Linked DNA regions of Macaca fascicularis. The protein of the gene in region 2 interacts with the protein of the main gene of each other region in a pairwise test. Links are inferred from orthologs where the notes say so. Each region holds a gene or a part of one and is shown on either strand. Other genes may lie near its edges. The genes, in order: PTN, UBQLN4, PRPF40A and SPP1.

What was found.
Region 1: the proteins of UBQLN4 (region 2) and PTN interact in a two-hybrid assay, tested with the Homo sapiens proteins (2 studies listed by BioGRID and IntAct). The link is inferred for Macaca fascicularis from reciprocal best matches to the Homo sapiens genes UBQLN4 and PTN.
Region 3: the proteins of UBQLN4 (region 2) and PRPF40A interact in a two-hybrid assay, tested with the Homo sapiens proteins (2 studies listed by BioGRID and IntAct). The link is inferred for Macaca fascicularis from reciprocal best matches to the Homo sapiens genes UBQLN4 and PRPF40A.
Region 4: the proteins of UBQLN4 (region 2) and SPP1 interact in a two-hybrid assay, tested with the Homo sapiens proteins (2 studies listed by BioGRID and IntAct). The link is inferred for Macaca fascicularis from reciprocal best matches to the Homo sapiens genes UBQLN4 and SPP1.

What each region holds. Positions count from the first base shown.
Region 1 is NC_088377.1:178,927,057-178,932,243, reverse strand, and holds part of PTN (pleiotrophin), read left to right. Parts: intron 1-2,705; coding exon 2,706-2,821; intron 2,822-4,034; coding exon 4,035-4,208; intron 4,209-5,187.
Region 2 is NC_088375.1:105,028,922-105,034,714, reverse strand, and holds the start of UBQLN4 (ubiquilin-4), read right to left. Parts: upstream 3,585-5,793; 5' UTR 3,471-3,584; coding exon 3,363-3,470; intron 1,777-3,362; exon of another isoform or gene 1,609-1,776; coding exon 1,457-1,608; intron 1,080-1,456; coding exon 862-1,079; intron 291-861; coding exon 28-290; intron 1-27. Other genes in the region: ragulator complex protein LAMTOR2, read left to right, coding at 4,650-4,717, 5,023-5,185. UniProt on the Homo sapiens protein: Regulator of protein degradation that mediates the proteasomal targeting of misfolded, mislocalized or accumulated proteins.
Region 3 is NC_088386.1:48,222,500-48,228,216, forward strand, and holds the start of PRPF40A (pre-mRNA-processing factor 40 homolog A), read right to left. Parts: upstream 3,994-5,717; 5' UTR 3,811-3,993; coding exon 3,535-3,810; coding exon of another isoform or gene 3,409-3,534; intron 2,312-3,408; coding exon 2,180-2,311; intron 838-2,179; exon of another isoform or gene 806-837; coding exon of another isoform or gene 758-805; intron 1-757. Other genes in the region: ARL6IP6 (ADP-ribosylation factor-like protein 6-interacting protein 6), read left to right, coding at 4,805-5,204.
Region 4 is NC_088379.1:93,529,553-93,535,221, reverse strand, and holds the start of SPP1 (osteopontin), read right to left. Parts: upstream 3,435-5,669; 5' UTR 3,345-3,434; intron 2,268-3,344; 5' UTR 2,254-2,267; coding exon 2,200-2,253; intron 2,091-2,199; coding exon 2,052-2,090; intron 1-2,051. UniProt on the Homo sapiens protein: Major non-collagenous bone protein that binds tightly to hydroxyapatite. Appears to form an integral part of the mineralized matrix. Probably important to cell-matrix interaction.

The DNA.
Region 1 (5,187 bases), on a different chromosome or scaffold from region 2:
GTTGATTTGATCTTTTAAAAAATTGAAATGAAAAGTTTCTGCCAAAGTGGCAGAAAGTAGGCTCTCAGGCAGCCTCTGGGGAAAGCTCAAAGACTTCCACTTTGGTTTACTTTACACCTAATAATTTTAAATACATTTGAATACATTATGAAAAGATATAGCTGTACTGATGTGCCAGTGCCCAACTCAAAGAACTCTGAAAAGACTTGCAAACTGGTGAGTCTAGATTGGCTTCTTTTATCATTCACACCCAATTAAAAGCAGAGGAAAAGCCTCAGAATCAGTAGAAATTTTCTGCATGACCATTCATGAGGAATTAGGTTGGTGCAAAAGTAACTGTGGTTTTTACCATTGCTTTAAGGGTGAAAACCATGATTACTTTTGCACCAATCTAATATAATAAGAATTTAGCCTCAGGAGGAAGACCAAAGCACCTTATCTTATATTGTAGAAAGTGCTGGAGATGGTGAGTAGCTAATCTAGGCTTGTGATTCAGGGAAAAAACTAAAGGTTCAAAATATTAATTTTAATTGATAAGTGAAGTATGCTTCATCAATATGCTGGAATTCAAAGTCATCAGTTTTAAAAAACAACACTAATTTACATTCCCACCAACAGTGTAAAAGTGCTCTTATTTCTCCACAGTCTTGCCAGCATCTATTATTTCTTGACTTTTTAATAATTGCCATTCTGATTGGCATGAGATGGAATCTCATTGTGGTTTTGATTTGCATTTCTCTAATGATCAGTGATGTTGAGCTCTTTTTCATGCTTGTTTGCTGCATAAATTTCTTCTTTTGACAAGTATCTGTTCATATCCGTTGCCCACTTTTTGATGTTTTTTAAAAATAAATTTGTTTAAGTTCCTTGTAAATTCTGGAAATTACAGAATTTAAGTTCAACCATTGTGGAAGACAGTATGGTGATTCCTCAAGGATCTAGAACCAGAAATACCATTTGATCCAGCCATCCCATTACTGAGTATATACCCAAAGGAATATAAATTATTTTACTATAAAGACACATGCACACGTATGTTTATTGCAGCACTATTTACAATAGCAAAGTCATTGAACCAACCTAAATGCCCATCAATGATAGACTGGATAAAGAAAATTTGGTACATATGTACCGTGGAATACTAGGTGACGATAACAAGGAATGAGATCATGTCCTTTGCAGAGACATGGGTGAAGCTGGAAGCCATCGTCCACAGCAAACTAATACAGGAACAGGAAACCAAACACTGCATGTTCTCACTCATAACTGGGAGTTGAATATTGAGAAGACACGGACACAGGGAGGGGAACAACACATTCCAGGACCTGTTTAGGGGTGGGGGGTGAGGGGAGGGAACTTAGAAGACCGGTCAGTAGGTGCAGCCAACCACCATGGCACATGTATACCTATGTAACAAACCTGCATGTTCTGCACATGTATCCCAGAACTTAAAGTAAAATTATAAATAAATAAATAAATAAATAAATAAATAAAAATAACACTAATAAGAGGCAGCATATCCAATGCCACAGAAAAGTAGGAAAATTCACTGGCAAGGATATCACCTCATAGATATTTTTGAATGAGAAAAATAAATTAGAGAACAGAATAACCTCAATCCCTTATATACATGAAATGTTTTATTGTTCACACTAAAGAGAATGTTAAAACACGTAAACTAATCTATTACTACTTCTGGAAAAAAATTTATCAGCCTGTGACCATAGGTCATTACTACCATTTTTACATAAAGTGTAAAACACCACTAACACAGCAAATGGAGCTCAATAACTGCCAGGCAAGTTGCTGCAGCCATAGTTTGGTATAGCCATTGGGAAGTGGGTTGTCCTGGAGGTTGGACTAGACCTTCTCAAGGGTGTTTTGGCCAAGTAACCATATTGACACTAGGCTGTCACAGGTGGCTTCAAGTTCTAGGAGAGTCTTTCCAATGATATCTTGGGATTTCTGATTCACATCAAATGTGAGCATTTCCTATTATGAGTGAGTGTGAAGACTTTACCATATCTTAACATTTGAGGATTTTTAGCACGTGTGAGTTTATAAGTGTGTTTGATATGTGTCACAGGTGTGCTAGCTCTACTTCTGGGATTCACTCTTTGGTAGATCAATAAGTAATGGAATAGTGATAAAATGATAGTGATGATTATGACAATGATTTTAAAAAGGTCAGAGATATTGGTTGTTTTGTATGCATCTAAATAGAATCAGTAAACATATATTTGTATAGGTAATTCATTCATCATGTCTACTCAGATTGGTCTTGTGTACTGTGATGCCTTTGCTGTGGTTGTTTCTAAGATTGTCAGAAATTTTGAAGATGGCTATAGTTGTCGATATTACCAAGTGATGCTATCAGCAAGGCTGTAGAACTGTGTTCAAATGCATGCCTTCAAAGTTCTTTTGCTTCCATAATTTCTGAGTCATACTTAGCAAATGGTTGTGAAGTCTTATGTGAAGAACTGTTGCATTTTGTCAGTGAATACGTGATTGATTGCAGAAGAGCACTTATTTCAATGGCTGTTGGTGAGAATAGATGAAATTCTACCCAAGATAATTGATATGAATCTTCCTGAAATCTAACATTCCAGAAATGGAAAGTGGAGCCTTTCATCAAGGGGTTCAATGAGTCTTCCTCTCTGACTTAGGTTAATGCCACCTTCTTCTCTTTCTCTGTTTATTCCTAGAATGCAGGCTCAACAGTACCAGCAGCAGCGTCAAAAATTTGCAGCTGCCTTCTTGGCATTCATTTTCATACTGGCAGCTGTGGATACTGCTGAAGCAGGGAAGAAAGAGAAACCAGGTAAGCAGTAGGGTTCTGAAGGCAAGATGCTTCATTGATTAATGTCCATCTAGCCTAATTACCTGCTTTTCCTTCATCTCTTCTACTCTGCCTCTCTCCCTTCCTATTCCTGTATTCCTTCAATCTTCCCTTTTTAAAAATAATTATTTAGAGGAACCTAAGAAATATCCTGTCTCCCATTGCAAGTCCTGGATTGCATGACGATGATGGTCATTAATATAATGATCAAATTAGCAGCTACTATGTATAGAACATTGACCAGCAATCAGGTGCTTTATTATGTTACCTCTCTACCTCAAAAAAAAAAAATGCACTGCAACTTGTTTTTCTCCTTAATTTCAGATTTACAGAGGAGGAAACTGAGGCACAGAGAAGCTAAAGCACCTTCTCTACGCCACTCTCAAAGTCATAAGTAGGCTGTGGAACTGACAGTCTGTTTAAATCTGTGATCCACCATATATGTATGATGTCATTCCTTCTACAAGACAGAGAAAGGAACAATAACTTGCACTGAAATGGCTCATTTGACAACTGTTATTTCTTTCTTTTTTTTTTTTTTGAGATGGAGTCTTGCTCTGCCACCAGGCTGGAGTGCAGTGGTGCAATCTCAACTCACTGTATCCTCCATCTCCCGCAATTCTCTTGCCTCAGCTTCCAAAGTAGCTGGGGCTACAGGCATGCACCACCACGCCCAGCTTATTTTTGTATTTTTAGTAGAGTTGGGGTTTCACTATGTTAGCCAGGATGGTCTCGATCTCTTGACCTTGTGATCTGCCTGCCTCAACCTCCCAAAGTGCTGGGATTACAGGCATGAGCCACTGGGCCCGGCTGACAACTGTCATTTCTAATAGAATATTTTCTCAATTTTTAGGCTTAACTATTTTTGATCATCTCTTCTTTTATAGAAATATTTGCTTCTAAAAGGAGATGCCACTAAGTCACTTAGCAAAGTCTCTGGCACATAGTAAGAGGGAGTTAAATTAATACTAGTTTTAGCTCTTTTCTCAGTTTTCTTTCTCTCTTCTCTTGATCATTCTTTGGTTCAATACTTTGGTTAATATTCGTCATATTTCTATTATTCACTGGACAATAAGGATAGAGATTTAAAAAAACACACAGATCCTACAATTAAGGTTCTCAGGAATGAACTTGGTTATATCTGGAAGTTAAGGAGTTTTCTGTATGTTGATTAGGTTTTCTTCCTTTCATTCAGAAAAAAAAGTGAAAAAGTCTGACTGTGGAGAATGGCAGTGGAGTGTGTGTGTGCCCACCAGTGGAGACTGTGGACTGGGCACGCGGGAAGGCACTCGGACTGGAGCCGAGTGCAAGCAAACCATGAAGACCCAGAGATGTAAGATCCCCTGCAACTGGAAGAAGCAATTTGGAGGTAAGCTTCATGCTACTGAGTTAATCTCCTACCCTAAGATAATTCTCAAATTTTTCCACCAAATGTCTTTTTAAGGATGAGTACTTTTTATTTTAAATAACTTTATCTTATCAGACACAAAGTGACCAGATATCTTTCCCAACCCCAGTGTTTCTCAACTTTGACACTGGTCCCATTTCAGGCCAGGCAATTCTTTGTTGTGGAGGTTGTCTTGTGCATTTTAGGGTATTTAGCAGCATCCCCGGCTTCTACTCACTAGTTTCCAGTAGGATTCCTCACCCACTCCAGATGTGAAAACTAAAAATGTCTCCAAATATCTATGGCCAAATGTCTCCTTGTGGTCAAAATCATCCCTGATTGGGAACCACTGCCTTTCCAAAGGGACATAAAATATATCCTTGATTCCTCCTAATAATGTTCGTTGATATATCTTCTCTCTCCTTTCTTCTATTTCTAAGTTCCTTTGATTTCTCCTTTCCCCTTTTCTTGTTTATTCCCCTTCTTCTCCATGTCCCTCCCTGTCACTTTCAGGCCTTCTCTCTCATTTGATCCCTCCCCACCCTCCACACAGGTTCACAGATTCACTTATTGAGTCCAGCAGGGCTGCTCACAGTCACTTTTCATAGATCTTTCTCCCACTGGCTAGAGTCAGTCTTATGCTGGCCTGATCTATCTATCTGAGACAGGATCTGTCAACACTTTCAACTTTATATCCAATATTGAACCCTCAAATAACCTCTTTCTTCCACGATCCAGAGTTTTTGTCTTTGGGGACATGATTCCTGAAATGTCCTACCTGTGTTCTGTGGAAATGCACTGTGGCCCATAGACAAGTGAGGAAGAACAATGGATGTATACACGTACATCTTTTTCTCCCTCTGTAATCTTTGGGGTATTTTCTATTTGAATGGAGATAGATAAGTTCTATAAAAGTGTGATGGAGAACAGGTACATTTGGTCTTAAACTGTATCTGGGTAC
Region 2 (5,793 bases):
CCAGCTCTCTAGCCCTCTCATACTCACCTGCCTCATGAGTTCAGGGTTGTTGAGCATGTGGCTGATCTCAGGGTTCCGCTCCATCAGCTGCTGCATCTGGGGGTTGGCCATGATCATGTGACGCATCAGGTCAGGGTTAGACATCATATCCTGGACCAGGGGGTTCTCCATGATCTGCGACAGCATCTCAGGATTGGACATCAGCTGCCTCTGCATCTGCTGCTGCAGCTCCATGAAGTTGGCAGAGCCCAGGCCCAGGCTGCCCAGCCCCAGGATGCCCCCAAAGCCAGCTGTGGGAGGGGGGCAGGGTCACAGTCTGCCACAAGATCCCTGTCCTCACTTAGCCAGAGCCACTGAATTTGGATCTCCAGGACAGGCCCCAAATGCTTCTCACATGTTCCTCTTCCAATCATTCCCACAGCCCAGCCCTGATCCACTGCTGGCAAAAAAATGTGAGCCTACTAGACTGAGGCCTCTCTGAAGGCTGAGGCTGCACCAAACATAGAACTGAGCAGAGAGAAGGCAACCAGCAATGGTCTGTTGAATGAGTGGCCCATCTGGCTACTGCTGGATCTAACTTTTCCCCAGACTCACAGTCTTCCATTCTCTACCTAGGGTTCCCCACATCCCCAACCCCATTTCTGCCCTCACTCCTAACCCTTAGCCATGATCCCCACCTCTGAGAACTCCTCAGACTAGTTTCTTCCCCAACTTGAATCAAGTATCAATGTCTGGAACTCTACGTCATGAGGTCCCCTATCCCACCAGACCAGGATCAGGAACTCCTGTTTCTTCCTCCTCTTGGCTTTCCCCAACTCTCCAACCCCAAACAAGAGTGTGCTCTCCTCTCTGAGGGCTTACAGAGTATGGATGCAGTAGCACTGGGGGGTCCCTCCCCAGCCCCTGGAGAGGGCCCCCCACCACTGCTCCTCCGGCTTCCACTGCCAGCATCTGAAGAGGCACTGCCAGAGGTGGAGGGCTGGGCAGGGGTGGCGGGTGAAGCAGGCGTGGTGGAGGGTGCTGAGGCAGGGTCAGGTGTGGAGGGGGAAGAAGCAGTGGCAGCAGCTGGATCTTGAGCCCTGAGGACAGAGAAAGGAGAATCCTGTTGGAGTGAGCACTAGAAGAGGGAAGGTACCTCGACAATCTCTGTGCTTGCCGTGGGACTACTATTTTAACTCAAGCCCCCTCCTAGCAGCCCTGAGGCTGGAGTGGGGTGATGGCTGGAGGGCAGTCAGTAAACCAGCAGAGGGAGAAAGGAGCTAGTATTATCTGTCTTCAGGGCATTCTGGGAGTGGTAAATCAGGTTCCCTTCCCCTAGAGAGGAGATCATATTCATCCAGGAGCTACCTGCCTGGGCCTCAGCTTAGGCCCTCTGGGTACGGTCTAGCAATGAGTGAGAAAGTATTAAATGGGGAGGCCCAATCAGAAGCTGGATCTGCTCTGCTCCTGAACTTACTTCTGAGGGGTCTTGATGACCAGATGGACAGTGAGCCCGTCCTTGATTCCGTGCTGGTTCAGTGTGTCCCCATCCTTGAGGATCTTGCCTGCGAAGATCAGGACCAGCTGATCCTGCTGAGCCTTAAACCTCCGGGAGATTTCCTCTTTGAACTGTGATCAAGAGGCAGAGGTCACTGTGGAGGCTGCCTGGACTCCCCCTACCAGGGACCCTGACTCTTCTTCAACAGCTTCTGTACTCTCTTGCTCTCATCTCTAGTCATGGGAAGTCCTTTCTGTAGTCTCGATGCCATTCCTCCAGCTGCAATAAGCATCTCCTTTCTTAACAAAGGAGATGAACCAGTGAGAGGCTCTTCTCTTAGCTCCATCCCAGAGTCTCCCACCTGAGAAAGCTCTTGCTGCCATCTGCCTCCCAGCTTCAGTCCCTCCAACTAGTTCTCTGTGAGGCAGGGCAGCCTCCCCCCACCCCAACTCCTTCAACAGCCTTGGACTTTCAGCCTTCTGAGACCCAATTTTCTCTCCTCTCTATTCCCAGCATTCTCGTAACAACTACAACAAATAGATGTCAGTTGTTGAGCACTATCTATTCACGAGTTAAAGATATAGTATAGTAATTATCATCTTCATTTTATTTTATTATTACTTTTATCTTGAGATGGAGTCTGGCTCTGTAGCCCAGGCTGGAGTGCAGTGGCGCAATCTCGGCTCACTGCAACCTCTGTCTCCTGGGTTCAAGTGATTCTCCTGCTTCAGCCTCCCGAGTGTCTGGGACTACAGGCACACACCACCATGCCTGGCTAATTGTATTTCTAGTAGGGATGGGGTTTCACCATGTTAGTCAGGCTGGTCTTGAACTCCTGACCTCAGGGGATCCACCCAACTACAACTCTTCAAAGTGCTGGGATTACAGGCGTGAGCCACCACGCCCAGCCTTATCTCCATTTTAAAGATGAGAAAACTGAGGATCAGTGAGGTAAGGTAACTTGCCACAGGCAGACCAGAACTCAGGTCTTGACACCGAAGTCCAGGCTCTTAACTAAACATACAGTCTCTCAATGATAGCCATTTTCAAATTCAGCTTTGCAGGGAACAGTACAGTATTTAAATTCTGAAATTTAGTAATTCTATGTGGTTAGGGAGGGAGCAAGGATGGAGTTAGACTTCCCAAATTCTACCAGCCCTTCCAAAACACAACACAAAACAAAACACAACACACACTTTAAGTAGAAACAGTGCACTTGTTAAGCAGAGGCAGCTTCCAGATCCCTCTCTTCCAACCAGATGGCCTATCTTAAGCCCCGCCTATGTGAAATTATGGAGCGGCCACAGTGGGTGGCAAGCACAGGCAACAGTCCCTCATTCAACAAGATTTTATTGAGCACCTACTGCACACCGTGTAAATCTCAGAAGAGCTGAGAACCAAATGTAACCACGTCGATTTCAAAGAGTGGGAAGGATCTGGGCACAGGGAAATCCTCCCCCGACAGCCCCGTCGCTCAGAGAACACTGGGCGTTCTCTGAGGTACAGAGTAGGCGCCGGCGCTCTCCGCCTGCCCCCGGCCCGTTCTCTCGGTTAGCACCTTCCCTGGGCCCCCACTCCGGCACACTCCCCTCAAACCCAGGGTCCTTCCCCCTTCCTGGTGCAAGGTGTCCCCTCCTCACTCTCCACCACGCCCCCAGCCCAGGCCACAAGGCAAAACCCGCCCCCCAACACGCGCCACGCTCCCCAATATCTCCCCTCGCAGGGCGCCCCCTACCCGACTCTCCTTCCCTTCAGCTCCTCGGAGTCCCAGCTGGCCCCCGCTCTCCTCTCCGGGGCCCTCCAGGACGCCAGACCGTCAGGGAGGCCCCCATCTCTTCGCAGACCCCTCCTCCGCGCTCCCCCCGCCTCCCGCCTGCTGTACTACCTCCTTGACCGAGGCTCGATCGCAGATCACAATTTCCTCCTTGTCCTTAGGGGTCTTGACGGTGACCCGAATAGGGGGCCTCGTCTCGGCCCCGCTCGGCTCCGCCATGCCGCCGCCGCCACCCGGCCGCCCGCCAGCCCGCCCGGCTCCTCCTCCTCCCCGCCCGCCCGGCCGGCCCGGCTCGGCTCCTGCGCCTCCAACACTCCCCTCTCTCCACCTCTCCCCTCCCCTCCCCTCCCCTCCTCTCCCCTCCCCTCCCAGAGGCTTCACCGCCCCCTCCAGACCAGCCGCAGCCACAGCGCCCCGGGCGGACCGGGGGGGCCACTGCAGCGGGGTCCGCCCAGGGCCAAGCCCCAGGTCCGGAATCCGGCCAGGGTCTCGCCAAGCTGGGGCTCCTGGGGAGGCTCTGGGCGGGGGAAGGGACGTGCCCTTCACTGCGGGGGCGAGGGCGAACTCCCCGGGAGACCGCGGCCCAACGCTGCTCGCCCGAGCCGTGCCGCCGTCCCCTCCGGCCCAAAGCCTCCCCGCCCCCTCCGCGGCTAACTCTGCTCCGGGACAAAGGACTTTGTGTGTCGCCGCTTTATCTCCGTTCCCTGTGATAACTTGGTCTTTCTTGGAAGCCCCAAGTCCCTTCCAGGCCAGGGGCCTTTCCCGACTTGGAGGTTGGGTTTTCCCACCAAGCACGTCCACTTAGGATCTCAGCTCTAGGACTGACCCTATAGCCCCGAGGGTCGCGGCCTAAATGGTCTGTTGCGAACGGTTCCAGGGAGCTGGGTTTTGGCTGCGTGGCCTTTCAGAGCCTTGATTTCCTCAAGATAATAATAGTACCTCTCGCCTCATCGCACAGAATTGTGCATAACGGAGAAAACTGTTTTGAAAGTAACCAAAGGCGTGCCTGACAAATATGAGGATGTAGTATAATTATTGAATCGTGGACTGCCAAGCGGACACGTTGATTCCTTTCTCCCCGAAGGGGTTAAATGTCCTTCCAGCGCTGCAGCTGTCCTTTCACTCCCGCTCTTTTCCGCCCCCACAACCGCGTGGTCCGCCTGGAAAGGCGAACTATAGTTCCCATGGTGCCTCGCGAGGTCACGAGGAACTACGATTCCCAGAGACCCCCGCGGCGGGGCGGTGTTGAGTCGGAACCACAATAGCCAGGCGAGGAAACTACAACTCCCAGGGCATCCCGGAGCAGGCCAACGGGACTACGGGAAGCAGCGGGCAGCGGCCCGCGGGAGGCATCTCGGAGGATCTGGGTGCAAAAACCCAGGGTTAGGAGCGGTAGGCATGCTGCGCCCCAAGGCTTTGACCCAGGTGCTAAGCCAAGCCAACACTGGAGGCGTCCAGAGCACCCTGTGAGTGCGGACCACGGACCCCAGCGGCGCGCGCTGCAGTGGAGCGGCGTGCGACTCCCTGAGGGAGGGGTGGGGAAGGATCGCCCGGAAGGGAGGAGGCGTCAGAGGGGGCAGTGGCTGGGGGTACCGGCCGGGAGGTCACCTCTCGAAAAGGGAGGCCGGTGTGCTGGGTGCTTAGGGCACGTTCCGGGACACACTCAGCCGAGAGCCTTGCTGGATGTGCCCGTGGCGGGACTTGAGATGGAAACCCAGACGTTTTACTCCCCGCGCTGAGCACATCGTTATCCCTCCCCGCCCCTCACCAGGCTGCTGAATAACGAGGGATCACTGCTGGCCTACTCTGGTTACGGGGACACTGACGCCCGGGTCACCGCTGCCATAGCCAGTAACATCTGGGCCGCCTACGACCGGAACGGGAACCAAGCATTTAATGAAGACAATCTCAAATTCATCCTCATGGACTGCATGGTATGGAGAGGGGAGCCAGACTTCCCCTGTCCCCCAAGGGGATCCCAAGGGGGCGACCTGGACCCCATCCTGGATGGTTGGAGGGGCAGGGACAGGATCTCCGGAAGATTACTAAGAGTTGGTCTGCAGCAGCATTTGTAATAGGCAGGACCCTATTCATCAAGTGGTGGTGAGGAAGGAGCCCTGGACCTGAGAGGTCTGACTTGGGTTCTGGTCTCAGCCATCCACTTATCAGTTGTGGAACCTTGGGTAAGTCGCTTAACCTCTCTCAGCTTCCTTACCTCATGTCTAAGGAGAAGACAATTTCCCTCTCCCCGCTCCCCTCGTGGGTTGTTGTGAAGGTCAAATGAAATAATGGGTATAAACAGTAGAATGACGTGCAAACACAAAGTGTTGTCATCCCAGCTTCACCGACTCACAGAACCATGGCAGTCTCCAGACCCTAGTCCAACCCCTTAAGGTTACAAAGAAAGGAAAATGAAGTCCAGAAAGGGGAAGTCGCCATTAGACTGTGAACTTCCTAGTATCTGTTCAGTTAACAAATATTTAGGTCCTTGCAGTGTTCTCAGGACTAGGGAAAAAAAAACAGCAAACAGAAAGACAAAACC
Region 3 (5,717 bases), on a different chromosome or scaffold from region 2:
AACCCTCCCAACTGTCACAACTGTAAATGATACAGACAGACATCCTGCTTCATCTCAATTATCTTCTGACCACTTACTACTTCTGAGTACTTCTGAGAGTGGCAGAAGAAATAATGCAGGAAAAAGACCAATTGTGCTATTTATTATCACCTTTAATTTTTAAAGCAATGTTTACAGAGTTTCAAGTAAGATTTCCGATTTGAGAATTCAAATTATCCATGCTCTCCCAGTCCGTTTTAAAGCTAAAGTAAGAATTTTTTTTTCCCCAAGATTTGGGCCCCATATTTGTTAGCAAAAGGGAATTATATAAATCTTACAAAAACAGTGGAGATTCTTTTGGGACTTTCAGAGCATAACTCCTACTAAAACATTTATTTATTATACTAACAGGAGCCTTCAGAGGGAGAAGAATTCTAAACATCTAAATAATTAGGTCTACTTAAAGGCACATGGCGTATTATTAGCCTAGGAAAAAGTAGAAGGAAACAACACAAAAAAAATCAGTTATTTGAATGGATGTATACCAAGTAAACTTACTAGAAAGATGGTCACTGATATAGCTACAGAGAAAGGGCCATAAAGCAAACTGTGACCAGCTTATGTCAATGAGATACATGAAAGTACTTTTAAAAAATAAAATCTGCATTTTTTTTTTTTTTTTTTTTACTAGAAATATGACTAGCTGGTATCTTGGTTTTGGTAGTGCAATAGCACCATTACAGCAAGGGTAAGCAGGTCAATCCCTTGCAAAACTTACCTTGATTGGCCCAATGGAAACAGAAGGCCCCAGAAAAGAGAGAAGCATCTGGCAGTAGCAAATTGTTTTATTTTATCTTTCTGTGGAAAGAAACTAATTTTAAATAAGAACCAGAGCATTTAAAGAATAAATATTTTTAAAGCTCATTATCTAGTTAGAGCAGCTCTACCAAGAAAACAAGAAGAGCTCCTTGCTGCTTAGAGATGGAAAGAAACAGAAGAGGAATCAAAGTTGTTTCTCCATCACCTAGAGAGTTTTAAAATTTGTGTTATTCTAAAGTCACAGAATAAAAGGCTCTTTTATTTAAAGAACTCCTGCAAGCAGAATCTTTTGGGGCTGGTGTCTTTGAATAAAGGTTTTTTTTTTTTTTTTTAAACAAAATTAAGGGCAACATTCCAAATTAAAAAAAAAAGAGGAAAATCACTTGACATTAAGCCCTTCTACTCTTAAGGTTAAGTAAAAAGAGACAGACACATAGCAAGCTCCTTTTCCCACTGCAATTTCACCAATAACTTTAACCATGAAAGCTTAAACAATTATCAAACAGTACTAATTAGCAAAAGATCACATGAAATTGGCTTCCAAAATATTTTGTTAGCCTAAATTTTTGATGATTTATGGAAATACTCAAATGGAAATAACCCAGCCACCTAAAGATCTATATAGAACTTAACATGGAGCACAAAATTACTCATGGTAACTGAACCTGTTACCTTTCTTAGATGCTTCTCTAGAAACTCAGTTCTACCGAAATCACTGAATCAGCATTAAAACCTTTTGATCCAAATCACTTCTACAAAATGTCCATTTACAATTTATGCTAGAGATGGAAGGGACAGCTCATAAGCAGGAGTGTAGAAGCAATAAGCATTAAAAAAAAATAGTGTAAGTGGAAAATGAAGTACCTACTGGCACTGTCCTATGAAGAATCAGAATTATAGAGCACAAACCCCCCACCCTCCCTCACTCTCCTCCAACACACACAGAGGAAGATATTTCAGGAATAAAATTCGCTCTAAACCAAAACAATTGCTATTTTCAGATTCTATTTATTTACATGGTCTACCAAAATCAGTTATGTTGCTGTATCAGATAATATTTACTTTTAGACCATTAACTTCAATTGGCATGGTTGAAAAAATAATTATTAAAAATAAAAGCCTGGACGCACACTTTACTTTTAAGTAATAATAAAAAAAAAATTCTTAGTTTTGAGGTAATCAGTAAATTTCTCAGGAGACTTTTTCATTACATTCAAATTTCCATTACAGTCATGATTCAACATTTGGCTTATTTAAAATTATTCGGGCATAAACTAATCCTTAAACAGCTATAACTATTGACCTAGATTTTGAAATCTTGACAGAATACCTGAGGCAAAAACAAATAAATAAATGCAAAATAAAATAAAAGCATTCTTACTTGTCCCATTGGTGGCCCTCCCATAGGGGGCATCATCTGTGGCATCATTCCATGAGGTACAGGAGGCATATTCGCTCTCTGACCCATAGGGTGCATTCCCATTGGGGCATAATGCATGCCAGGGTGCCCCATCTGAAAAACAGCGAACGTTTTTAAATGAGCAAATAATACTAAACGCTTCTCAAAAATCTCATTTCAACAAATCAGTTATCTGAAGCAACCTAATATTAAGCTTATGCATAATAATGTCACTGGATTAATCTATACCTTGTTTTAAACAAAATGCATTCTGCTAGTATTTAAAACGAGCTTGCAAATTCCGCAACAAAACGGGAAAAGTTAAGATGATTACTGGACAGCTGGATCATAGGTTTTCTCTTTTTTTTAAGCATTGACTTAATCAGCTACTAACTGGCTTGCTAAGCTTGAAGGATACATATTGAATACTAATCTTAAAACTGTTACAGTGAAAACAACAATTCTTCTATTTCATGCAAATATAAAAAATAGCCAGCTATTGTTATTTTATAACACTACTGATTTTAAACTTTAAAATGCTCTATCATATTAACTCAGGTGAAAGTCAGTCTTATAAAACACAAACAGTAGTGCCACCCAGGGACAATTCACTCCTAACAAACTTATTTCCTAACATAACCTTTAAGACAGGTAAAATTCCTTCTGTCAAAAATACATTTTTAAAGACTGAGGTTCTGTTACTCACGGACACTAAATGCAAACAACTAATTCATCCCTTTCAACGCAATTTAAAAAGACAACTACTTTCTTTACCGATGAGTCCATTGTTCCATGTTTTAAATTAAAACCAGCTAATTATCTCCTGTCAATTGTCCTAACAGTTCCCCATGCAGACGACCCCACAAGTAATGAAAACAAATTTTGGCAGCCGCTGTTAAAGTCTTACAGAATCAAGCCCCTCCCTCCCCCTTCCAGCTAAATCGGGCCTAAAGCTCCAAGACGCTCACCCCGCCCAAGAGCCAGCACCTTCACCACGCATCTGTCTAGGCCAAGCCTACGGGGTACTTCCAGGGTCTCACATCCTTCTTTGTGCATCCCCACCCTCCACTTCTCTCCCTCACAACATATCCCACCATCTCGAGTTCTTCCTTCGTCCACTCTTATCTTCTTCTCCTTTCGGAGAAAGCTTCCTGTTTCTCTCACTCCGTTTTTCATTGTGCCGCCTTCCCCCTGCCCCACTGATCCCTTACCGAGGGCCGTCTCCTCAGGAAGCCGTCAGCAGAGACCCAAGAGCCGGAGCAGAGGCTTGAGCCGGACAATCTCCGCTCCCCGTCCCCAGGACCCTGCGAGGGAGGATGGCTCTCCATTTCACTCACCATGAGGCCTCCACGTTCAGCTCCCGTCCCCGGCCTCATCGTCGGGCTCAGACTGCTCCGCCGGCGGCCACTGCCGCTACACATACCAACAAGAAGCGATCTGAGTGGCTGGCGCCCACTGGGGCTAAAGGTTAAAGGCTGCCCTGCGCTACGGGGCGGGATCAGCGAGGCCAACAGGCTGACGGGCTTCCCCGCTGTCCAATCAGAATGCGCGGCCGACACGCAACTCTGCGGCGATTCGCCCGCAGCCTCAGCCTCACTCGGCGTCGCCTGCATGGGGCGGGGGGAGGACGGAGGAAGTTTCTGCGCCGAGTCCTCCGTCGGGAAAACTCTACCAACTTCCCCAGGGGAAGGGAAGACAACCGTGTCCCAGCTTCCCGAGCTTAGACCGCCTCACCCCGTAGGGGGTGGGGCAGTGGGGTCTGCCACCTTCCCCCTCCCCGCCCGAGTTACGTACGCCCCACAAACCTGAGGCCGCCAGGGGTAGGGTGGAGGGGGCGGGGGTAAGCAGCCTCTAGTGTTAGCGGTGGCTGGGACCGAATGCGCGCGCGCAGTGCTCGAGGCGGAGGGGAGGGGGCGGGGAAGGCGAAAGGAGGGGTTCCGAGGAGAGGGTGCGAGCTCGGTACGCACCAGGTGGAGAGCGCGCGCCTGGGTGGAGGAGGAAGGAGGCGTGTCGAGTAGCGTGAGGGAAGTTGTGGTACGGGTGGGGAGAACCACACTAAAGGGAGATGGGGTGAGCAGTGAAGGCACCGCGAGAGTACCAGGCAGAGAGCTGCCCTTTCTTAATAGGGGAACCTGGAGAAGAGTGTGAGCGTAGAGGGGAAGAAGGGAGAAGGCAAATAGGTTCGTGAATGTGTCGAAGGCGCGGGCGGGCGCTAGGACCCGGCGTCGAAAAGATGCGGCTTTGGGGCTGTCGGGTCTCGCGCTCCCGTTGGTGACGCGGCAGTGGCGGAGGTCTCCGGCAGGGATGAAGCGCCGCAGGGAGTGGATACTCGGCCGCCTTCGGCCTCCGCCCACTTCTCGCTGCGCGCTTTCCTGCTCCCCCTTCCGGCTACAGCCCTGGGGTCGAGCTCTGGTCCAAGCGCATCCCACCTCTCCTCAGGCCCTACGACTTCCTTTGCAACCCGCCGCCCAACCTTGCTCTCCGTGGTTTACCCCTGGGTTCTGAGGCATGGTGGTAGCGGCCACGGCCGCGGATTGGCTGTTGCGGACCCGGGGCGGGGCAGGTGGGAGAGGCTCATACTCCGCGGGTTTCGCTGTGCTTCGCGCCATGTCGTTAGCGGAGAGCGGGTGGCGGTCGGCTCTGCGGCGCCGCCGTCCCGGGACCCCGGGCCCTGTGGCTGGGCCAACATATTCCTCCTTTACTCAGGGGGACAGTTGGGGTGAAGGCGAAGTCGACGAGGAGGAGGGATGCGACCAAGTGGCCCGCGACCTGCGGGCGGAGTTCTCGGCTGGGGCGTGGTCAGAGCCCAGAAAGGGCTCGCTGCTCCCGCCGGACGGGGACGGGTCGCCTGTCCTGCCAGATAAGCGCAATGGTATCTTTCCCGCGGCCGCGGGCAGCAGAACCCAGCCTCGGCGGTGGCCGGTCCAGGTCCTTTCTATTCTCTGCTCGCTGCTCTTCGCCATCCTTCTCGCCTTCCTCCTCGCCATCGCCTACTTGATCGTGAAAGGTATTGAAGCCGAGGCCTTGAAAGTCTGTCCAGAGTAAAGTTGAGTCAGGGTGTGGCTCTTGCCACCACCCTTCTCCCTTCGTGCTGCCTAAGCCCGCAGGGTGGCAGCTGCTTTCACCCAGAGTCCTCATTTGCATCTTACTTTGCTTTCCAGCCCTTTTGTAAGTGGAGCGTCCTGATCCGTGATCAGGAGACCCATTTTTAAAAAAGATCTTTTGATTAAATGGGTACTCTTGAAGAAATATCTTCAAGTCCTTAAACACGGGGGATGAAATACTGTCAAGATTAAACAAAAGGCGAAACACCCACCATTAAAAGGAGACTGTGAAAAGTGCATATAATTAAAATAGGCTATCTATGTTCAGTGGCCTTCATCCACAAATAAAGATGTGCTGTCCACCAATTCCTCTACACAGAATCCTGAGGGACAAAGATTTTTATCGCATAGTCCAAATTTCTACTTTTATACGTAAAATAATTAGCCTTTCAGTTTTTAAGTTTGTGTCCAGGTGT
Region 4 (5,669 bases), on a different chromosome or scaffold from region 2:
TCCTCAGTTGCACTAGGCTACATTTTGAGTACTCCATAGCCATATGTATCTGGCAGCTATCTTACCAGACAATGCAGAAATATAATATTAAAATCATTGCACAAAAGTTCTATAGCTCTAAGGTGCCAAAGATGTAAATGAAATGGATTTTTCTTTAGCCAAGTTATTTATCTGGAAAATACTGATAATATGCTACTGCAGAGGAGTGGAAATTGCTCTGTGTAAGTGTCATCTGATCTGCTGAATCATTCAGGGCCAATCATTACATGTCCCTGTCATTCAGAATAACTCTGGGGGTTGTACAGAGTCCCTTCTGCAGCCACCTAAGGGGTAGATGGGTAGAGAGAAAACCAGTCAGAAGTACTAGAGTTTCTCTCATGGCTGGCTCTAACCAGAGGGGCTTCATACTGGGCTTCTCTGAAAGGTTTTGCTGAAAGAAGGGGTTCCTTGCTTTAAGAAGATGCAAAAACAGCTGGGCGCGGTGGCTCACGCCTGTAATCCCAGCACTTTGGGAGGCTGAGGCCGGCGGATCACAAGGTCAGGAGATCGAGACCATCCTGGCTAACAAGGTGAAACCCCGTCTCTACTAAAAATATAAAAAATTAGCTGGACGTGGTGGCGGGCACCTGTAGTCCCGGCTACTCGGGAGGCTGAGGCAGGAGAATGGCGTGAACCCAGGAGGTGGAGTTTATAGTGAGCTGAGATTGCGCCACTGCACTCCAGCCTGGGCGACAGAGTGACAGAGCGAGACTCTGTCCCAGAAAAAAAAAAGAAGATGCAGAAACAATGGGACTAGATGCGTTCAGAGTTTTTCTCTTCACTTTTTCATATCTATCTATCTATTCTCATGACACATGTAATACAGGCTTGGAGAGAATGGATTTATAAATTAAATTTATAATTTTTAAAACCTAATGTGAAAAAAATAAAGGTAAGCAAAATGAATAGACTAAAAACCACCCAGTAATCCTAACACTCACAGATAACCAGTGTGTATTTTCAGGCATATATCCTTAGAGACTTCCCCAATTTTTTACTAGCTTTAAGTTTCTGGGATTCTAGAAGGCTGGGCCTTGAGCCTTCTAGATTTCTTAAATTGTTATGACTCCACGTGCCTTCTAAAATGCATCTTTGCCATGTTTTCATTTATTAAAAAGGCACTAATTCTTGCCTGAAATAGTATGACCTCTATCTTCTCTGGAGATGTTAATTTTTCTGCTTTATTATTAGGAGTCAACATCTGTGTTTTCAAATCAGTTGGAAAACAGACACACACACCCCCACACACAAACACACACAGAATACTTCTTTTAATGTCTTCATTAAGAAATCTAATTGCAGTGACCCCCAAGGCAACTCTTATTTTGGCCTTTATTCTGTTCAACTGGAATTGAACTCTGTGTGCCTTTTTGTCCAAGCTGCTGGGGACAATGCCCATTTGTTGTTTGGTTGGCACGGTTTCATCTGTTGTGGAGGGGTAGGTACATCTTTAGTGCTGGTCAAATAATTATAATAAAGAGTTTGGTTGGTCTTATGTTTGGTTGGAAAATGTGATCTAACATCAGCTGACAATCACAATAGATACAAACAGCACACATAGACTTTCTTTTCACAATGGGCTTCTCAGCTAATATCTCAGACGATATTGTGAATATTATGGTCATACAAACAGTTCTGACTAATATCTGATGTGAATTTTAAACTTAGCAATCCACTAAATAAAGCAAAAGCTGGAATTTTCTGCTTTTAGATCAATATGTGGACTAATGGAAAAAAAGTCACACAGCTTCGTATAACTCTATCTTACATGCTATACTGGCCTAGACATTATTATATTTAAAATATCTGGGTTGGTTTTACAAACTTATATTTATTAAAAACTATACTGTGCTTGGTACTGGCCTAGATTCATAGCAGGCAGTCAATAAATACTTGTAAACCAATAGATTTGACTGAGAAGATAAGTAATCTTGCAGCAAATATGTTTGTTGCGCCTCTCGCTGTAATTGAGTAAATGATTTCACTATGTAATAAACCTAAAAGATGCTTACCTGCTTTTCCTCAGAACTTCCAGAATCAGCCTGTTTAACCTTTGAAACAGAAAAGATGAAGAAAGATTACAAGAATGTCCTCCTAGCACATAGAAGCACATAATTCAGTTATTTTCAGGAATTTTCTTTAAGATTCAGTTGTACTCACTGGCAGGGCATAGGCGATGCCTAAGAGGCAAAAGGAAATCACTGCAATTCTCATGGTAGTGAGTTTTCCTGCAAAACATTTCATAAGGAATAGCTGACATCCTCATAGGTTAAAACAATGGTACCTTTTTGTACTACCACATTACAAAATAATCACAAATAAAATATATTTTCTGTAAAATCTTTTCTACTTCTTAGAGAAGCCTTTTCTTTTTAGTATTATGGTCTTTCAAGTTAATATTTATATTGCCACCTATTCTCCATCTTTATTAGGTAAGGGAAAGGGAAATTTTACAAGTCTGTATTTATTCAACTTTTAAATTTAGAGTTCCAGAAATTGTACGATTACTACCTTATATATCTAGCTCTACTAAACCTACAAACAGATCAACAGTAACTTAATTCTATTAATAAGCTAGTATGGGAATGCTTTTTAGAGAAGAAAAAGCACAGATAAAAAAATGAAAAAAATTTGCTTTATTCGTTTTTCCAATATGTACTTTAAATGTGATTTTTAGCTTAAATTATTAAGTAGATGCTACTTAGGTGAAATGAAACTATCTCTGAAATTTGTTATTTAAGTAAGATGTTCTAAAAATTTGAAATGCAAAGGAAAACATTGAAAATAGCCAACAACTTTTCTATTTGTAATAATAAGCCTACATAGTGTCATGCAGGTATCTTGGTGAATATTTTAACAGCTAAATTTAGCAGTAACATATTCAGAAAGAGTTTTCTTCCCCTTGAAAATAAGATACATCATTTAAAAAATAGCATTGTAATTGGCTTAATTAGTGTAAAAGATCCCTTTTCTTTTACATTCCTGCAGTCACCCGTTGAAAATGATATAGGTATAATTATTCCAAAGGGGAATTGAATTTTACTATTTTCTGATTAGCCGCAGTAGTTTCCGTTCTTTTGAGGACCCAGTGGAAGTATTTTTAAGTTTTATATTTGATTGGCATTCCAAATATCTAGACACCTTTGTTCCAGGAGACCTGCAATGTATCTAATCTGCTTATTAAAAAGGCTAGAAAATTTAAATCTGTTTAACAGCATTACAATTAAAAATATTTTTCCTTAGAACTTGAACTTCCCCATGAAATTGAGCTGAATGCACAACCCAGTAGCAAACTGAAGGCATACCTTGGCCGGCGTTTGGCTGAGAAGGCTGCAACTGGCCTGACAGGAGTCCGGTCTCAGACGATGCTGTGCTCTCTGCCTCCTCCTCCCGCTGCTGACAGCCAAGCCCTCCCAGAATTTAAATGCTGCTGCAGACATCCTCCACCAACACAGGGAGGCGGAGAGATGTGTCATGAGGTTTTCTGCCACTGCCCAGCCCACCTGCTCCCACACTTCCCCCTCTGGTTTTGTGGTTAAAACAAAAAAACAAAAACGCACACACACACATCTACAGTTAAAACATTACTTATGTACAGTATCATTAACTAGCTTTTTCATTTACAGGATGGGCATTCAGCATCCAGGAAGAGCACTTAGGGATCCCATGGAAAAGGGAGAAAGTAGGGAAAAACATTAATGTAAGATTAAATAGAAAGGAGTTTTGTTTCTTTCAGTTTAAGTAACATAAAAGTAATATCTGCAACCACTCTTGCCTATATGATTATACTTATTGAAGAACTATATTTCTAGAAGGCTATTGTTCAAGCCTGCAAAGAGTTCAGAAAACCTGCCTCTGTCCTTTACTACTCAAGCTTAGCTTTGTGATTTCAAGTATGCAGTGGCTTGTTACTTAGACAAAAGACACTAGTGACATTAAAATATAAAATTCTATATAAAAGAGAAGAATGGTATCTTATTCTAGATGTTGCAGAAGTAAAGCAGTTTCTGACTGAGAGCAGGATGACTGCCTGAGAGGGCCGCTTCAGGAGCCAGACTGTGGCTCTGAATTCCGCTGTGTCACTGCTGACCTGTGCAACCTTGGGCAAATCGCCCAGCCTACCTATCCTTGTTTCCTCATCCATAAAATGCAGATACTATTACCTAGGTCATGGGATTTTTGAGAGGTTTAAATGAATTAGTATGTTAAACTAACAATGCTTAGCACATATTAGATACAAATGCCCTGCGTATCTTAAGGAGTGTATGTGTGTTAACTAGTATGAAATTTTTAAGAGGGGCAGGCAGTCACGAATTGTAATGTCTTTAAAAAGAATAGGTTATTAAAATGAGAGTAGATGTAAGATCTTTAAATGGTATGCATCAATAAGGAAATTTTGCGCATTTCTAAAGGAACAGATTCGATTTTGGAATCATCTTTTTTTCTAGTTTTTCTCCCAGGGTATGTAAATTAGGCTACTTAAAAAGAAAAAGATTTTTAAAAATTTCTGGATTAAAAAACACTTTACTAGGTATTTAAAACGTATTTGAATAAAAGAAAATTACAGGGGAAGTCTGAATATTCAGGGATAGCAGAGCTCTGGGTCCTTTTAAAATATTTAACATTGTCTTGAGATTACTTCATCTGCTTTCTCAGTTGTGAAATGCAGATTGCACTATTTATTTACCTTACACCTTTATTGTAAGACTTGTGTGTGATTAAGATGAAAAATAAATGGTCCTATTTATTATTAGGTTGCTGCAAAAGTAATTGTGGTTTTTATTAGTTCTAAAGTGTCAGCTTCTTTTTGCCAAATATTACTTTTAACATAAATATAGATTAAATAATTTCTTGCAGTGTTAGTATATAGCTAATAAGTAGGTTTCATGAACATTTGGTAGGGGGAAATATGTCTCCCTTAAATTGGATGTATTCCAGATGAATTGATATTATTGGCTTGTAGGTAATAAGCACCCATTTTAATAAGTAAGATGACAACTATCTCTATAAAATAGAAAGCACACAGATTATAAAGTTGCAAAATAGACTTCTTTTTTCTGCTTTTAAAAACTATTTTTTTCCTTTAAACATATTACCCACATAAGCTTGTCATGTTGTCAATTTAGTGGAGGGAAGTCCGAAAATTCTAAAAACAACAAAATTTCCACAGGATTTACTGTAGTTTACTCTGGCCCACGGGAATGATTCAATATGAAGCTAGAATTAATTATAGGAATAGATTATGCTGGAGCCCAACCATCTTGAGATGAACCATATGACCCTTTACAGGACTCTTCTGGTCATAGCTCCACAGTGCCACACGATGGCAGCATTTCTGAAAAAAGATTTCAGACCACAATCTGGTTCTATGAATTTTCTTATTCCAGCCGGATAGAACACATTTAATGACAGAACTATATACAGCTGTAGAGCGCTCCATTTCCTGGAATGCCAGGTGAGGAAATATTTCCCAACAATGATCCATTATGCAATCAGGGACAGAGACCCAGAGAACCAAAGCGTTCTTGTTTTGCTCTGTTGTTGCCTTAGGCAATCCCAGGTTGACACTATTGTCTCCTTCCGGACTTCTACACTCATTCAAAAAGTTCCTAGTCCCAAGGCCTCTCTCA